2 linked regions of the Notamacropus eugenii genome follow. The protein of the gene in region 2 binds, or shares a complex with, the protein of the main gene of each other region. Links are inferred from orthologs where the notes say so. Each region holds a gene or a part of one and is shown on either strand. Other genes may lie near its edges.

Region 1 (6,982 bases), on a different chromosome or scaffold from region 2:
GGGATCAAATCCTGGCTCACCTGATCAACCATTTGACTTTGGGAAAGTCACTAAACCTCTCTGGGCCTCAGTTTTCTCATCTGTAAAATTAGAGGGTTGAATTAGATGATTTTGAAGGTCCTTTTCCCTTCTAGGCCTATGAAGCTCTCTATGATCCTGGAGAATTCATAGATCAAACATCAAGGGATCCAAAATTCCATGCCAACCCTCTCATTTTCTCAGTGAGCTAGCAGAAGGTAGATTAGAACCCAGGTCTCCTGGTTCCCAGAGCCCTAGGATTTCAAAGCTCAAATTGTTAATTTCCTTTTTCCCTAGCTCTAAGCAGTGATACTCAAAAGACTGGGAGGGGAGAGGGGAAAAATTCTCAAAATCTCAGAGGTGGATGGGACCTCTGAGGGCATCTGGGCCAACCCAGAACTAAAACAAGAACCCAGTCTACAACACAATCAAGTACTCATCCAGGGTTTGCTTAAAAGGGCCTTAAGTGAAGAGGGCTTTCTCAAAGGCTATTACTTTTGGAAATACTTTCTTTTCATTCCAGGCTTCATCTTCCTCTTCAACTTTTACCCATTACTCCTAGTTTAGTACTCTGGAGCAAGCAGAACAAATTTACTCTAATGCAATCCAACCAGAATTCATTAAGTAACTTAGATGTGGAAGGGGTGAGAGGAAGCACTGAAAAGAGAGGAGAGGAGCCATCCCCAGAGAAGACCTGGCTCCTCCTCATCTTGCCTGAAATACTTTAACCTCACTGATAGTAACAGTAATGAGGATGTTTACAGAGTCCAACAACAATCATGGCGATAACTTTTATATGGCGCTTCAGCATTAATGTCGATGATGGCTAACATTTACACAGCATTTCAACAGTAATGAAGATAACTTTTATATAGCGCTTCAACAACAATAAAACGATAGTTGATTTATGGAGCGCTTCCACAATAATGATAACAAACATTTATGCAGCGCTTGGACAATAACGATAACTAATATTTATATAGCACTTCAATAACAATAAGGGTGATATTTATGTAGCACTTGGACAATAATGATAAACTAGTATCTATGTAGCGCTTCCATAATGATAGCTAACACTTATGCAGCGCTTGCTTGCACAATGACGATAGCTAACACTTATGCAGCGCTTGCTTGCACAGTAATGATAGCTAACACTTATGCAGCGCTTGCTTGCACAGTAATGATAGCTAACACTTATGCAGCGCTTGCTTGCACAATGACGATAGCTAACATTTATGCAGCGCTTGCTTGCACAGTAATGATAGCTAACACTTATGCAGCGCTTGCTTGCACAATGACGATAGCTAACATTTATGCAGCGCTTGCTTGCACAATGACGATAGCTAACATTTATGCAGCGCTTGCTTGCACAATGACGATAGCTAACATTTATGCCGCGCTTGCTTGCACAGTAACAATAGCTAACATTTATGCAGCGCTTGCTTGCACAATGACAATCGCTAACATTTATGCAGCGCTTGCTTGCACAATGACGATAGCTAACACTTATGCAGCGCTTGCTTGCACAGTAATGATAGCTAACACTTATGCAGCGCTTGCTTGTACAATGACGATAGCTAACACTTATGCAGCGCTTGCTTGCACAATGACGATAGCTAACATTTATGCAGCGCTTGCTTGCACAGTAATGATAGCTAACACTTATGCAGCGCTTGCTTGTACAATGACGATAGCTAACACTTATGCAGTGCTTGCTTGCACAATGACAATCGCTAACATTTATGCAGCGCTTGCTTGCACAATGACGATAGCTAACATTTATGCAGCGCTTGCTTGCACAGTAATGATAGCTAACACTTATGCAGCGCTTGCTTGCACAATGACAATCGCTAACATTTATGCAGCGCTTGCTTGCACAATGACGATAGCTAACATTTATGCAGCGCTTGCTTGCACAGTAATGATAGCTAACACTTATGCAGCGCTTGCTTGCACAATGACGATCGCTAACACTTATGCAGCGCTTGCTTGCACAATGACGATAGCTAACATTTATGCAGCGCTTGCTTGCACAATGACAATCGCTAACATTTATGAAGCGCTTGCTTGCACAATGACGATCGCTAACACTTATGCAGCGCTTGCTTGCACAATGACAATCGCTAACATTTATGCAGCGCTTGCTTGCACAATGACAATCGCTAACATTTATGCAGCGCTTGCTTGCACAATGACGATAGCTAACATTTATGCAGCGCTTGCTTGCACAGTAATGATAGCTAACACTTATGCAGCGCTTGCTTGCACAATGACGATCGCTAACACTTATGCAGCGCTTGCTTGCACAATGACGATCGCTAACACTTATGCAGCTCTTGGACAGTAACAATAACGGCCCAAGATGATGGCTAACTTTTACACACAGCGCTTCAACAAGAACAATAACGATGATGGGTAATATTTCCACAGCATGTCGGCGATGATGGGAGCTACCATTTACATAGAGTTTCAATCTGACAACAATAAGGAATACAGTTAACTTTTACGTAGCGCTTCAACAGCGATAGCCGATATTTATGTAGCGCTTCAACAGTAACAATGACGATGAGGATGGCTAACGCTTACAAAGCGCTTCCTAGGCGCTGGGCTCAAGGAGGCCAGGCCCCAGAAGTGGGGTGACTGGGTCACTCTCCCCACCTGGAGAGGACGGCACTCCTATTCCGTGCGCCCCCAAGGCTCTCCACGCCTCCCCCCGCCCCCTCCCGCAGCTGCTTTCCCCTCCCGGGAGCCCATTCCCCGGTCACCTCCGCCATAATTGAGCCAGCGATAGTACTGGGAGAAGGGAAAGAGCCTCCGGTAGTAAAGCTTGAGCAGCTCAGGCAGCTCGTTGGGGTCAAACGCCGCCATGGGCCTCGGGGATTTTGTCTAGCGGCAAGAGAAACCCCAGTCTCACAGTTTGGCGGGAAATGGGAATCCCGAGTCTAAGTCACTGCACAGGCGCGCCCGCGGCGCGACGGGAAAGGGTCTTTCGCGGGGCCTTCTGGGACGTGTAGTTCTTCGATAGGGCACTGTAAACTGGAGAGAGCACTTTGTGCTCAGGCGCGCGAGAAGGAAGAAGGAAGTACTGATTTACTTCTGTATCCTCCATAGGGAACTGGAGAGACTCGTTAGAGGCCGGAAGACGTTGAAGATCACGCAGTCCCGCCCCATCCGGTCACTGAGGAGAGAAGTGAATTACAGGAATCCTTAACCTGAATATGGAAATATGCTTTGCATGATTTCCCATGTATAATTGATAGCATATGTCTTACCTGGGCGGGGGAGGGGCCGAAAAGAGGGAGAGCATTTGGAATTCATTAAACAATGAATGTTAAATTAAATTAAGGGATAATTCTTAGTTAAAAGAAAGAGAAGCATTAGCCTGACTGACTGACCTTTGAAGTGAGTTTGAACGAGACAGGAAGGGAGATCGTCCGCAGTCATCCAACATTTATTATGCACCTGCTGTGTGCAAGGAAGCAACTTAAGCGCTAGGGATACCAAGAGGGAAAGCAAATAATCCCAGCCTTTAAGCGACCCGTGTTGTATGGGAAGATACAGCACAAGAATAAATACAAAACTGGAGGAGAGGCAGACAGGGTAAAAGTGCTGGTAAATGTTTCACAGTTGACTGGGATAGGGGAAAGGGTTGTATGCTGGACACACTTTTAAGTTAAATCTGTATTATTAACATTTTCTCCATTACTTTCTTGCAAATCCAGCATTCTTGTTTTCAATTTCTTTTTTTTAAAATTAATTTATTTTTAGGTTTCAACATTCACTTCCATAAGTTTTAAATTTTCTCTGCCTCCCTCCCTTCCACCCTCCCTAAGGCAGGCATAGGCTTTCATATAGGCTCTACATGTACGTACCTTCTTATTAAAAAACTTCTTATTATTCACATTCGTAATATTGTATAGAAGAATTAGAACGAATGGGAGGAACCATGAGAAAGAAAGAACAAAACAAAACAGGGAGTAAATAGTATGCTTCTATCTGCGTTCAGATTCTATATTTCTTTCTCTGGATGTGGATGGTATTTTCCATCATGAGTCTTTTGCAGATGTTTTCAGTCCTTGCTTTGCTGAGAAGAGCTAAGTCTATCAAAGTCAGTCACTGAACAACATGGCTGTTACTGTGTAAGCTATCACGTTCTTAAATCTAGAGTCTTGGTCATAAACAAAATAGTAAATTAAGCTAACTGGTAGCTTGCTGATTTCTGAGGTGTAAAATTCTCACAATGAAAATTTAGCAGTTGACTTTCGTGAGTCTCCAGCACACCTTGAGAAAAAGCAGCAATTGCTTTGGTGAGGGATATTTTCCTTCAAGGTTCAACTTAATTACTCCCTCCTTTACAAAGCCTTCTTTGATTCCCACCCACCCCCAAACAATAAATCAACCCCCAATTTGTAGCTTGCTGATTTTCAGGGTGCAAATTCTTGCAATGAAAATTTAGCGATTGGCTCTTCCAAGTCAGGTCTCTATCACACCCCGAGGAAAAGCCCTAATTTCTTAAGTATTTGATCCAAATCTTGAAGGAAAATGTCCAAAGGTGAGAAAGCTTTTGTGAGTCTGAGCATGTCTCTGGCAGGAGGAAATACTGGAGAAGGTGCTGAAGTTCTGCCTGCCAGAAGGGCAATGAGAGAATGTCAACATGTTCAGAGAAGGTGTAGAGAGGGTTGAATGGGGCTTCCTTTGCTCTGGTTGAAGTGAATGAGCATCCCTACTCCCTACCTTGCTGGAAAACATTGACCTATTCTTTCAAATGTATTCTCAAAATATTCCCAATAAATTTCTTTCTGTTAAAAAAAAAAGAGAGAGGGATGGATGCATTCACAAGGAGTTGGGAGAAGATGTGGCATCCCCATTTTTGTTCTAATAATTTACCTTTATGGGGTTGGAAGAAAGTCGAGCGCATTTTATCCACAGATCACAAGTCAGACTTCCCTTTCAGTCAGCAGAACTTCATCTACTCATTGATTTCTCCCATTCAGAGAAGTACCTAGGTGTGAACTAGCCAGAGACCTCCCCAAACCTCCTTGACCCCCGAGCCCCCCAGCTGAGAAAGGCCTAAAACCTGGATTGACCAATCAGGAGAAAAGCATTTTTTGGCCCACTTTGAACTTAACCTACCATAATGCTTTTCGGGCTGTAGCATAGCAGACATGCTTTGATCAGCTCTCTGAGTGAACCTAAAATGCTCCTTCCTGTGTCAATAACTACAAGGCTGGATGAAACTGTCCAGAAACATTCCTGACTGCCAAGGACAACTCACCTTGAATGGGATGCTATCTTGAATAATGGCACTTTTCTTATCTTGGCAGTTTATGGACATATATTATGTTACATTATATTATATTTCATTATGTTATATTAAATTACATTGTTATATTATATCATGTTGATGATAGAAGAAACACAGACATTTTGGACTGGAATTTTAATTGACATTTTGACCCTTCTTTAATATTATTGTATGGGCAATCTATCCTACTAAGAAATTCCTTTTTCATATTATGGTTAACACATATGGAGACTATAATTTTGTCTGACACAGGTATCTTGAGCAGGGAAGGGAGGGAGGAGTGAGAGGAAATTAAATTGCTCTGAAGATATAAGGTCCCCCTTTTCCATTCTTCCTTGGACTCATTTTCACAACGAACTCTCATGTATATCTCTATATGCATGATTTGCCAGCTTTGAGAGAAATCAGCTTGCCCATTGATAATCATTTAATATCAATTTAATAACCTCAATAAGCGACAGAGCCTGAACTAATCAACCAGAAGAAGAGCCTGGAACTAACAGCTTCTTTGTTCTCTGAGAATACCTCTCCTATGTCAACTTGACCTTGGCCAGATGGGACTGACTTAAGAGCATTCTTTCCTCTGTTTACAACCATTAAGGATGAGACCCTTCACCTGAGACACTATCTTGAATAATGAGACCTTTTCTTATCTTAATATTTTATGGATGCATACTATGTTATGACATGTTAATGGTAAAGAAAACACAGATATCCTAGGTTATAATTTCAATGGACACTTTATCAACTCTCTTATCTTTTGTATTTACCATCTATTCAATTAAGAAAATTCCTTTGTCATAATACGGCTAATCATATATGGAGATCATAAATTTAAGTGACACAAACATGCTGAGTTGGAATTGTTCTAAAACACATTTAAGCATGGTCATTCTTTCATCAGACAGTCAGAACTTAGACTCTGGCACTTTGTATGTACAAGCTAGCTAGCTTAGACTAGCTTTAAGGGAACAAACAATATAGATTTACTTATCACCTAGCCTGTTTGCCTCCTTTAACCAAATTTTCAGGTTGACACCTTGCAGCCTAATTTTGTTTGTTTCTTAGAACAAACTATAATGGTTGACATAGGTTACATAGTTTTTGTAAGTAGCCTGAAAATCTGGTTTCCAGAAGTAGTCCCAGGATTCTCCTTTTGCTGGACTTCCACAGCTAGGATTGTTTAAGATAGTCAGGATTTGGCAGCATTTGAAAAGCCCTTGTCATTCTTCCAAGATCAATAGCTGTCTCCAAAGTTATCAACTGCTAAATCCAGTAACCTTTTCTCATTCTTCATTCTGTTTCTTTGCAACATTGGAAGCCCTGTGTTGATTGGGGGTTCTTAACCATTTTAGTGTCCAGGGTCCCTTTGGCAGTCTAGTGAAGCCTATTAGAGCTCTTTTCAGAATAAATGTTTTTAAATGTATGAAATAAAATAAAATACATAGGATTACAAAGAAATCAATTATTATATAATATGATTATCAAAATTATTAAAAGTCCCAAGTTCATAGATCCCCTCTTGAAATCTATGCAAATAGATTCCAAGTACCACCTGAGGGGTATTTGGAACCCAAGTTAAGAACCCCTCATCTAGATCAAACCTTTCTGGAAATGCCATCTTTTCTTTTCTTCTGTGACACCACACTCTCCTCATTG
Region 2 (7,265 bases):
AGTTTCTTCTCACTCCAAATCATATGCCAAAGTGATTTTCCTCAAATACAGATTGGATCATGTCATTCTTTACTCCAACTCATGTGACTATTACTTGTAATCATCATTAATGCTTGTGTTTAGTTTTTAAAGCCTTTCACAATTTACCCCTGATCTATGTTTCTGGTCTCACTGCCCTTTCCACCCTCTATGATCCAGCTAAGCTGGCTGTTTCCCATGTCCTCTCTAACCCTTCCCTATGCAGTGGACCATCCCTTCCAAGAAAGCATGAAAGAGAGAGAGAGAGAGAGAGAGAGAGAGAGAGAGAGAGAGAGAGAGAGAGAGAGAGAGAGAGAGAGAAGGAGAGAGAGAAGGGAGAGAGAAGGAGAGAGGGAGGGAGAGAGATGTTTATCAAAACCAATTAGCTAGACAACCATGTTGGACAGTATATACAATATTTTATACCCGTAGTTCCCCATCTTGGTAAACAATCTAAACAAGTTTCAAAGGACAAAACTACACTCAACCACATTGTGTCTCAAGAACAGTGTCAGAGGGTAAAACGACAGTCTTAACTGTGGGTGTACCCTCAAGCTTTGGTCCATAGCCATCTTTCTATGCTTTGTTAATCTTGCTTACTGTTAAAAGAAACATAGGCACATACACCCAAACACCCACTCTTCACATGGTTGTACATTCTGCCTTATGCCTTTGTGTACTATTAGATGAAATCTTCCCCTTACTAGCTAAATCTATCTATGTATCTATCTATCATCTATGTATCTATCTGTCTTTGCTGTGTTAACCACCACCACTGTCAATAATGAAAAGTTTACTACGTGAAACCCAAAAACTTTGGGGAGTCAGGTTGTAATCCTCCTGAGCAATTGTTTTTTATTGTTTGAATCTGCTTTTATCCTGAGAAAAGATACTGATGAGTATTTATTGTTAGTTGCCATCTGGATCTCCTTAATGACAATGGTGAACATCTTTTATGAGTATACACCTTTATAGCTTGATTACTATTAATGATCAGAGGGTTTCCAAAGAGGTTCTCCTTTTTATATATTTCACAGAATCTTGTATAATTTTACCACATGGACAGGAAGTATTTTTGTAGGAGGAGAGCATCTTGTCCCGCTGAATCAAATACTTTTTTATGGTCATCAATATAAAAAAATAATCACTGCGATCTTGTATTTTGTTAATTGGGTGATGGTAAAAAAAAATTGTGGTCTATTTTAGAATCCTCTTTGCAAAAGCTAATCTCTTTCCTTCTAATGAATTCCCTCATTAGTGAATTTGTATAGGTTTTAAAAGTGAGCATGTCTGGGAAGCTACTAGTGTTTTTTGTTGTTGTTGTTGTTGTACTAATAAAGTTTGAGATTTATTTTTTTCAGTTTTGACATTTTCTCCTCCTTCAGATAGCTTGAGAATCAATCCTTAACACCTTCAAAACTGTGTCACTTCCAACACAGACTTCCTCTTTATATCTTTGGTCTAGTAGTTATTTTTTTTCAGTTTTTGTTTTCTTTAGTGCTCTTTCTATTTCCTCATACAGCACATTCCCAGCTATGATGTTACAACCAGAATACATTGTCCTTGATGGAGAAAGAGTTTGTTATAAAAAAAATTGCAGATCTTTCTCACAGAGTTGTGTGGCACTCCTTAGATCTTATCTTTTGCTTCTATGATTCTAATTTTTTAAAAATTTGATTTTTTATTGACATTGTTGGTTTTTATGTCATCTTAATTTATTAATATATTCATTCCCTTTCACTACCTAGTGGGCCATCCTTCCTAACAAAGCATGAGAGGGAAAAAAATTCATCAAAACAAACCAACTTGTTAAATCTCAATATCTATATGAAACAGATTTTAACTGAAGAAACAACAACCACCAAAAAAACCCAAACACAAATGCAAAGCAAACTAAGAATATATTTTCAAGCTATGTGGACTTCATAAGAGCTGTGTGCCTGAAGTTGCTTTGGTAGGGAGGACACAAAGGATGAAAAGAGATACTCCACCTCCAGAGTCCATGGATCCTAGGAAAAGAAAAGGGTAACAGCAATCTCAAATGAGTTGAAGGATCATTGATTTAGAAGGTGCTGAGGAGGTAACTTTGACATCAAGTCCAGTTCTCTCATTTTACAGAGGAAGAACTGAAGCCCTCATTGCCCAAGGTTAAACAGGTAGAAAGTAGCCCCTCATCCAGTCCAGGACTGGGATTTCAACCCTGATCTTTTGATTCCAAATCCAGCTTTTCCCACTGTATCTGCCATCACAGTCAGGCCCTGAAGAATCTCTTCTTTTGCTCTCTATGTTTAGGGTTCTGCAGCAGCCAGTGACCATCCTCACCTTGAGGCCGAAATCTAGAGTTATTCTGATGCTCCAAGAGCTGACAAAAACTTTAGGGAATCTTAAAAAAAAGTGATACTGATGAATGAATTTTTCCTTCTCTCTGGTTGGACCTAATCAAGCTCATATGTTCACACTTGGGTCAATTTCTGGCCAGGCCACAAACTCTTATCCCTGCAGGGCTCCATCAGTGCTAGGGTTGCAGTCAACCCTCAACACCCCTTACCTCTCTTTAACATCTCATCTTTCAACATCTCTTTACCTCGATGCACATCCCAGTTTCCATTATAAAGAACCGATACTTCCCCCATCAATCAAGCAATCAGTGTTTATGATCACTTTTTTTGATTTTTTTGAGCACTTACAAAGGCAAAAGCTGTCCCTGCTCTCAAAGAGGTCACAGTCTAAGAGGAGAGATAACATGCAAACCGCCATGTATGAATGATATATTTAGGCTGAATTGGAGATAATCTCAGGGGAAAGACTGCTAGCCTCCTTAATGCTAGTGCCCCGTCTCTAAGAGGTATCTTGAATTTATCTTGTAACATATCTTATTTGTAAAAGGTTTCTTGCTAAAAGTGGGATTTTATTAATTAATTTATTTGTTTTCAGTTTTCTATAATCACTTCCATAAATCTTAAGATTTTCTCCCCCTTTGTCCCTCCTTCTTCCTGACTCCCCCCGCCTCCCCAGACTGCATGCATTCTTATATGGGTTCTACACATCCATTCTTACTAAATACATTTTCAACTTAGTCATGTTGCATGGAAGAATTAAAACAAATGGGAGAAACCATGAGAAAAACCAAATCAAAACAAAACACAAGAGAAAATAGTCTGCTTCATTCTGCAATCCAATTCCATAATTTTCTGTGGATGTGGATGACATTTGCCTCAAGAGTCCACTGGGAATTTTTTAGATCCTTGCATCGCACTGCAGTACTAAGTCTGCCAGAAAAATTCCTCCCACACTGTGGTTGTTGTTGTATACAAAGTTCTCCTGGTTCTGCTCCTTTCACTCAGCATCAGTTCCTGTAAGTCCTTCCAGGCCTCTCTGACATCTTCCTGTTCATCATTTCTTATGCCACAACAGTATTCCATTACATTCATGTACCATAATTTATTCAGCCGTTCCCCAGTTGATAGGCATCCCCTTGATTTCCAGTTCTTGACCGCCACAAAGAGAGCTGCTATAAATACTTTTGTACATGTGGGACCCTTTCCCATTTCTATGATCTAGAAGCACTAGTGCTGGGTCAAAGGGTATGCACATTTTTGTGACCCTTTGGGCATAGTTCCAAACCACTCTCCAGGATGGTTGGATGAGCTCACATCTCCACCAACAATGAATCAGTGTTCCAACTCTCCCACATCCTCTCCAGCATTGGCCGTCTTGTTGTTCTGCCGCCTTAGCCAGCCTGATAGATGTGATGTGGCACCTCAGAGTGGTTTTGGTTTGGGACTCTCTAATCAGTAGTGATTTAGAGCATTTTTTCATAGGACGACAGATAACTTTAATTCCTTCCTCTGAACCCTGCCTGTTTATATCCTTTGACCATTTATCAACTGGGATGAAGGTGGGATTTCAGAGGCGACAGGAGGAAACCAGGAAAAAATAAAAACAAAAATCCAAACCAAACAATCTGTCCCTCCCTTCAGAGAGCGGACAGCCTGACGGGTACAGAGGCGTATACAAATCAGAACACACTAGATAGATTGTAGAATAAATGGGTGCGTCCTTGGAGTAAGTGAACCCCGCTTCCGGGATGCCACCACAGAAGAACCAGCCCGAGCCTGGGGGACCTGGAACTTCAGGGGCGGGGCGGAAGGACGGCGGAAGCAGGGCGGGGCTCCGGGAGCTAGGGGGCGGGGCGCCAGGCATGAGGGGCGGGGCCAGCCCAGAGGGGGCGGGCCTGGCCTGGCCCTGGGGGCGGGGCCAGTCCGGGGGCGGGACCGGCGCGAGTGGTGACGACTTCCGCCTCCATCCGAAATCTCCCGCCTTTGAGAAGCGCTGAGTCCTGGTTCTGAAGGGAAGGGGTCCCGGCACGTTTAGGGCACTTGGGGCTGCCGCAGGTAACAGCTTCGCGTGAGGGTCTTGGGACGCGTTTCCTCTTTCCACCCTGTGAGTAGGTTGGCTTTGTTTCCCCGGGTCCGGGGAGTCCCGGAGTGTGTGCCGGGTCCCTGCTTCCCCTTGCGGGGACTGGGCTTGAGAAGCGGGGCTGGTACTGGGGGGCCTGGGGGGAGAGGGAGAAGCTTGTGCCGGGTGAGTGGTGCCTGGGGGGCGGCGCGCTTCGCCTCCCTGGGAGCTCCACGTCTGGGAAGGTCGAGCTCTGGAATCTCCATGCTTGCGTCCCTCCCCATCCTGTACCCCCCCCCCCCCCCTTTACCCTCTGGGGGCCATTGAGAGTAGCAGGACCTCCGTCCGGGTAGGGAGGGCTTGAAAACCGGGGGTGTGGCGCCCGGAGCCACGGCGTGACTGGGTCGGGTCACAGGCAGCAAGTGTGGCCGGGAGGGCTGCGCTTGAGATCCGGTGAGGCCATGGTTTGAACACCACCTTCTGCACTTAATAGCAGATCACTTAACCTTTGCTAAGTCAGTTTTCTCGTGGGGCTAATCCCGATTGTAGTGTCCCCTCTTTCTCAGTCGTTCTGGATCCTTTCTGACCTCACTTGGGGTTTTCTTGGCAAAGACACTGGAATGGTTTGGCACGTCCTTCTCCAGCTCGTGTTAGAGAGGAGGAAAGTGGGGCAGATTGGGTTCAATGACCTGTCTGGGATCACACAGCTAGGAAGTGTCCGAGGCCACATTCGAACTTGGGAAGATAGGTCTTCCTGACCTTAGGTCTGACACCATCCACCGGGCCATGGTGGTTCAGACAGAGTGAGAAGTGACTGCGTCTCTTTATCAATTTATATACAGTGGCAGCATGAACCAAGAAGCAGTTGTGTCTCTCCATTTATATACCGTTCTTTCATGATCTATTTAACAATTGGATTTTACATATGTCGTGTTTAATTGTTTAGATTTGACCTTGCACTTTTAACGTGACTAGGTATTGGATTGTTTATCCCTGTCAAAGGTAATATATGGTCAAAACGACTTGTAAGTCTGTTCCCTTAGCTGAATAAAGTAAAAATACCTATGATTGTGGCCAAGCCATTTAACTTTTCAGTGGCCAGCTGTTCTGTGTAGGTGGAACAAGATTTCCAACCCAGAGTTCTCCACACTAATGAAAGCACATTTCGAGACTGAAAAAAAAGAGAAAAGAAAAGGAAAAAGGCACCTGTTTCATAAAGTTGTATGTAAAGCAGTTTGCAAGATGGTATAAATGTTAAATGTCATTGATTGGCACAGATTTTTTAAGTGAAATTGATGGGCCACTGCACTCCTCTTTGTCCTCCTACTCCTCATAATAAACATATATGTCTGTAGTTCTGTAAGGTGTATAGTGTATTTTTCTTACAACAGCTCTGTTAGGCAGATAGTATAAGTGTTGATAATAGCCAACATTTACTTAGGGACTACTATGTGCCAGGCACTGGAATAAGTACTTTACAACTATTATCTTATTCGATGCTCGTAACTACTCTGGGAGGGAGCTGCTATTATTATCCTCATTTTACAGTTCAGGAAACTGAGGCAGAAAGAAGTTAAATGACTTTCTCAGGGTCACACAGCTAGTAAGTATCTGATTGGATTTGAATTCAGTCCAAGGGAGAGCTGATGATCACCTGAACTAAGGTGACAGCTTGGAGATGGATAAGAAACATGGTGTGGAGGTTATCAACAAGCAATCATCATGAGACATATGTGAAAACCAGGCTTATTACAAGAGAAATGAACGTGCATGTGGAACCCAAAGAGTTCAAGTCTTTACAGAATGTATAATTGGTAGAATTCCTTACTCTGAGACCAGTAACACATACCTCTTAACATGTATGTTGGTGAAAATTAGGAACGCTCCTCAAGTGGGCAAAGTTGAAAGCTGTCTTGCTATATTTTCAACTAATCTTTATTTATTTATTTATTTATTGCTTAAGTAACAAAGATGCAGTTTTCTGGATCAAGGAGAAAGAAACTGAGTCTGGCAGGGGACCAGAGAGGTGCTTCCTATCCTCATAGCCTTCAGTTCTACCTACAACCTCCTTCTGAAAACATATCTTTGGCAGAGTTTGAGAATCTAGCTATTGAAAGGCTTAAACGTGAGTGATATTTTACATTGTAACTGTTTAAGCAAGGTAACTTTGTATGTTTAAGTAAGGTAATTTTGGATCACTCATTTCTTTGAAATTCAGGTACATGTTAGCCCTGAATTCTAATTTACCACAACTGTTGACTTGAAGTGGGTTCTGAAATGGTTAGTACTGTTGGGAAGGATAGATAAGTTACTTCCTTTCTTTGTTTTTTGAATTTTAAATAATATTTTATTTTTTTCCCAATTGTACATAAAAACACTTTTTAACATTTTTTTTAAATTTTGAGTTTCAAATTCTCTCCTTCTCTCCCCTTCCCCCTCCTTGAGAGGGTAAGCAATTTGATGTAGCTTATTCATGTGCAGTCCTACAAAAGAAATCCCTATATTAATCATATTGTGGAAGAAAACACAAAAACAACACCAAAAATAAAGAAAGCAAAAAAAAAAAGAAACCCAACATGCTTGGATCTTCAGACTCCATCAGTCTTTCTCTGGAGGTGGATGGCGTTTTTAATCTTGAATCCTTTGGAATTGTCTCGGATTATTCTGTTGCTGAGAATAAATTAGGATCATTGTAGTACGTTGCTGTTACTGTGTACCATGTTCTCCTGATTCTGATCACTTCAGGATAAGTTACTTTCAAAGAGCCATTGATTGCTAAGTGTAACAGTTTCTTCATGGCAATCATTTTGATGACTTGGTGTCTATATTTCTGCATTACCATGGTATAT

What was found.
Region 1: the proteins of PRIM2 (region 2) and PRIM1 are in contact, whole or in part, in a crystal structure (PDB 5EXR), measured with the Homo sapiens proteins. The link is inferred for Notamacropus eugenii from reciprocal best matches to the Homo sapiens genes PRIM2 and PRIM1. Residues at the interface, in NP_000938.2 of Homo sapiens: Glu165, Ala168, Ser169, Pro171, Ser172, Phe188, Ala189, Leu192, Phe195, Arg196, Gly197, Arg198, Val200, Tyr201, Leu202, Glu203, Asp204, Gly205, Phe206; in NP_000937.1 of Homo sapiens: Lys147, Glu148, Asp149, Phe150, Gly151, Phe152, Ala180, Val181, Gly184, Ile185, Glu187, Tyr188, Ser190, Leu191, Lys193, Lys207, Ile208, His209, Pro210, Ile212, Arg213.

The regions. Positions count from the first base shown.
Region 1 is NC_092874.1:232,034,168-232,041,149, forward strand, and holds the start of PRIM1 (DNA primase small subunit), read right to left. Parts: upstream 3,022-6,982; 5' UTR 2,887-3,021; coding exon 2,784-2,886; intron 1-2,783. UniProt on the Homo sapiens protein: Catalytic subunit of the DNA primase complex and component of the DNA polymerase alpha complex (also known as the alpha DNA polymerase-primase complex - primosome/replisome) which play an essential role in the initiation of DNA synthesis.
Region 2 is NC_092873.1:125,584,088-125,591,352, forward strand, and holds the start of PRIM2 (DNA primase large subunit), read left to right. Parts: upstream 1-4,248; 5' UTR 4,249-4,412; exon of another isoform or gene 4,413-4,461; intron 4,462-6,379; 5' UTR 6,380-6,387; coding exon 6,388-6,541; intron 6,542-7,265. UniProt on the Homo sapiens protein: Regulatory subunit of the DNA primase complex and component of the DNA polymerase alpha complex (also known as the alpha DNA polymerase-primase complex) which play an essential role in the initiation of DNA synthesis.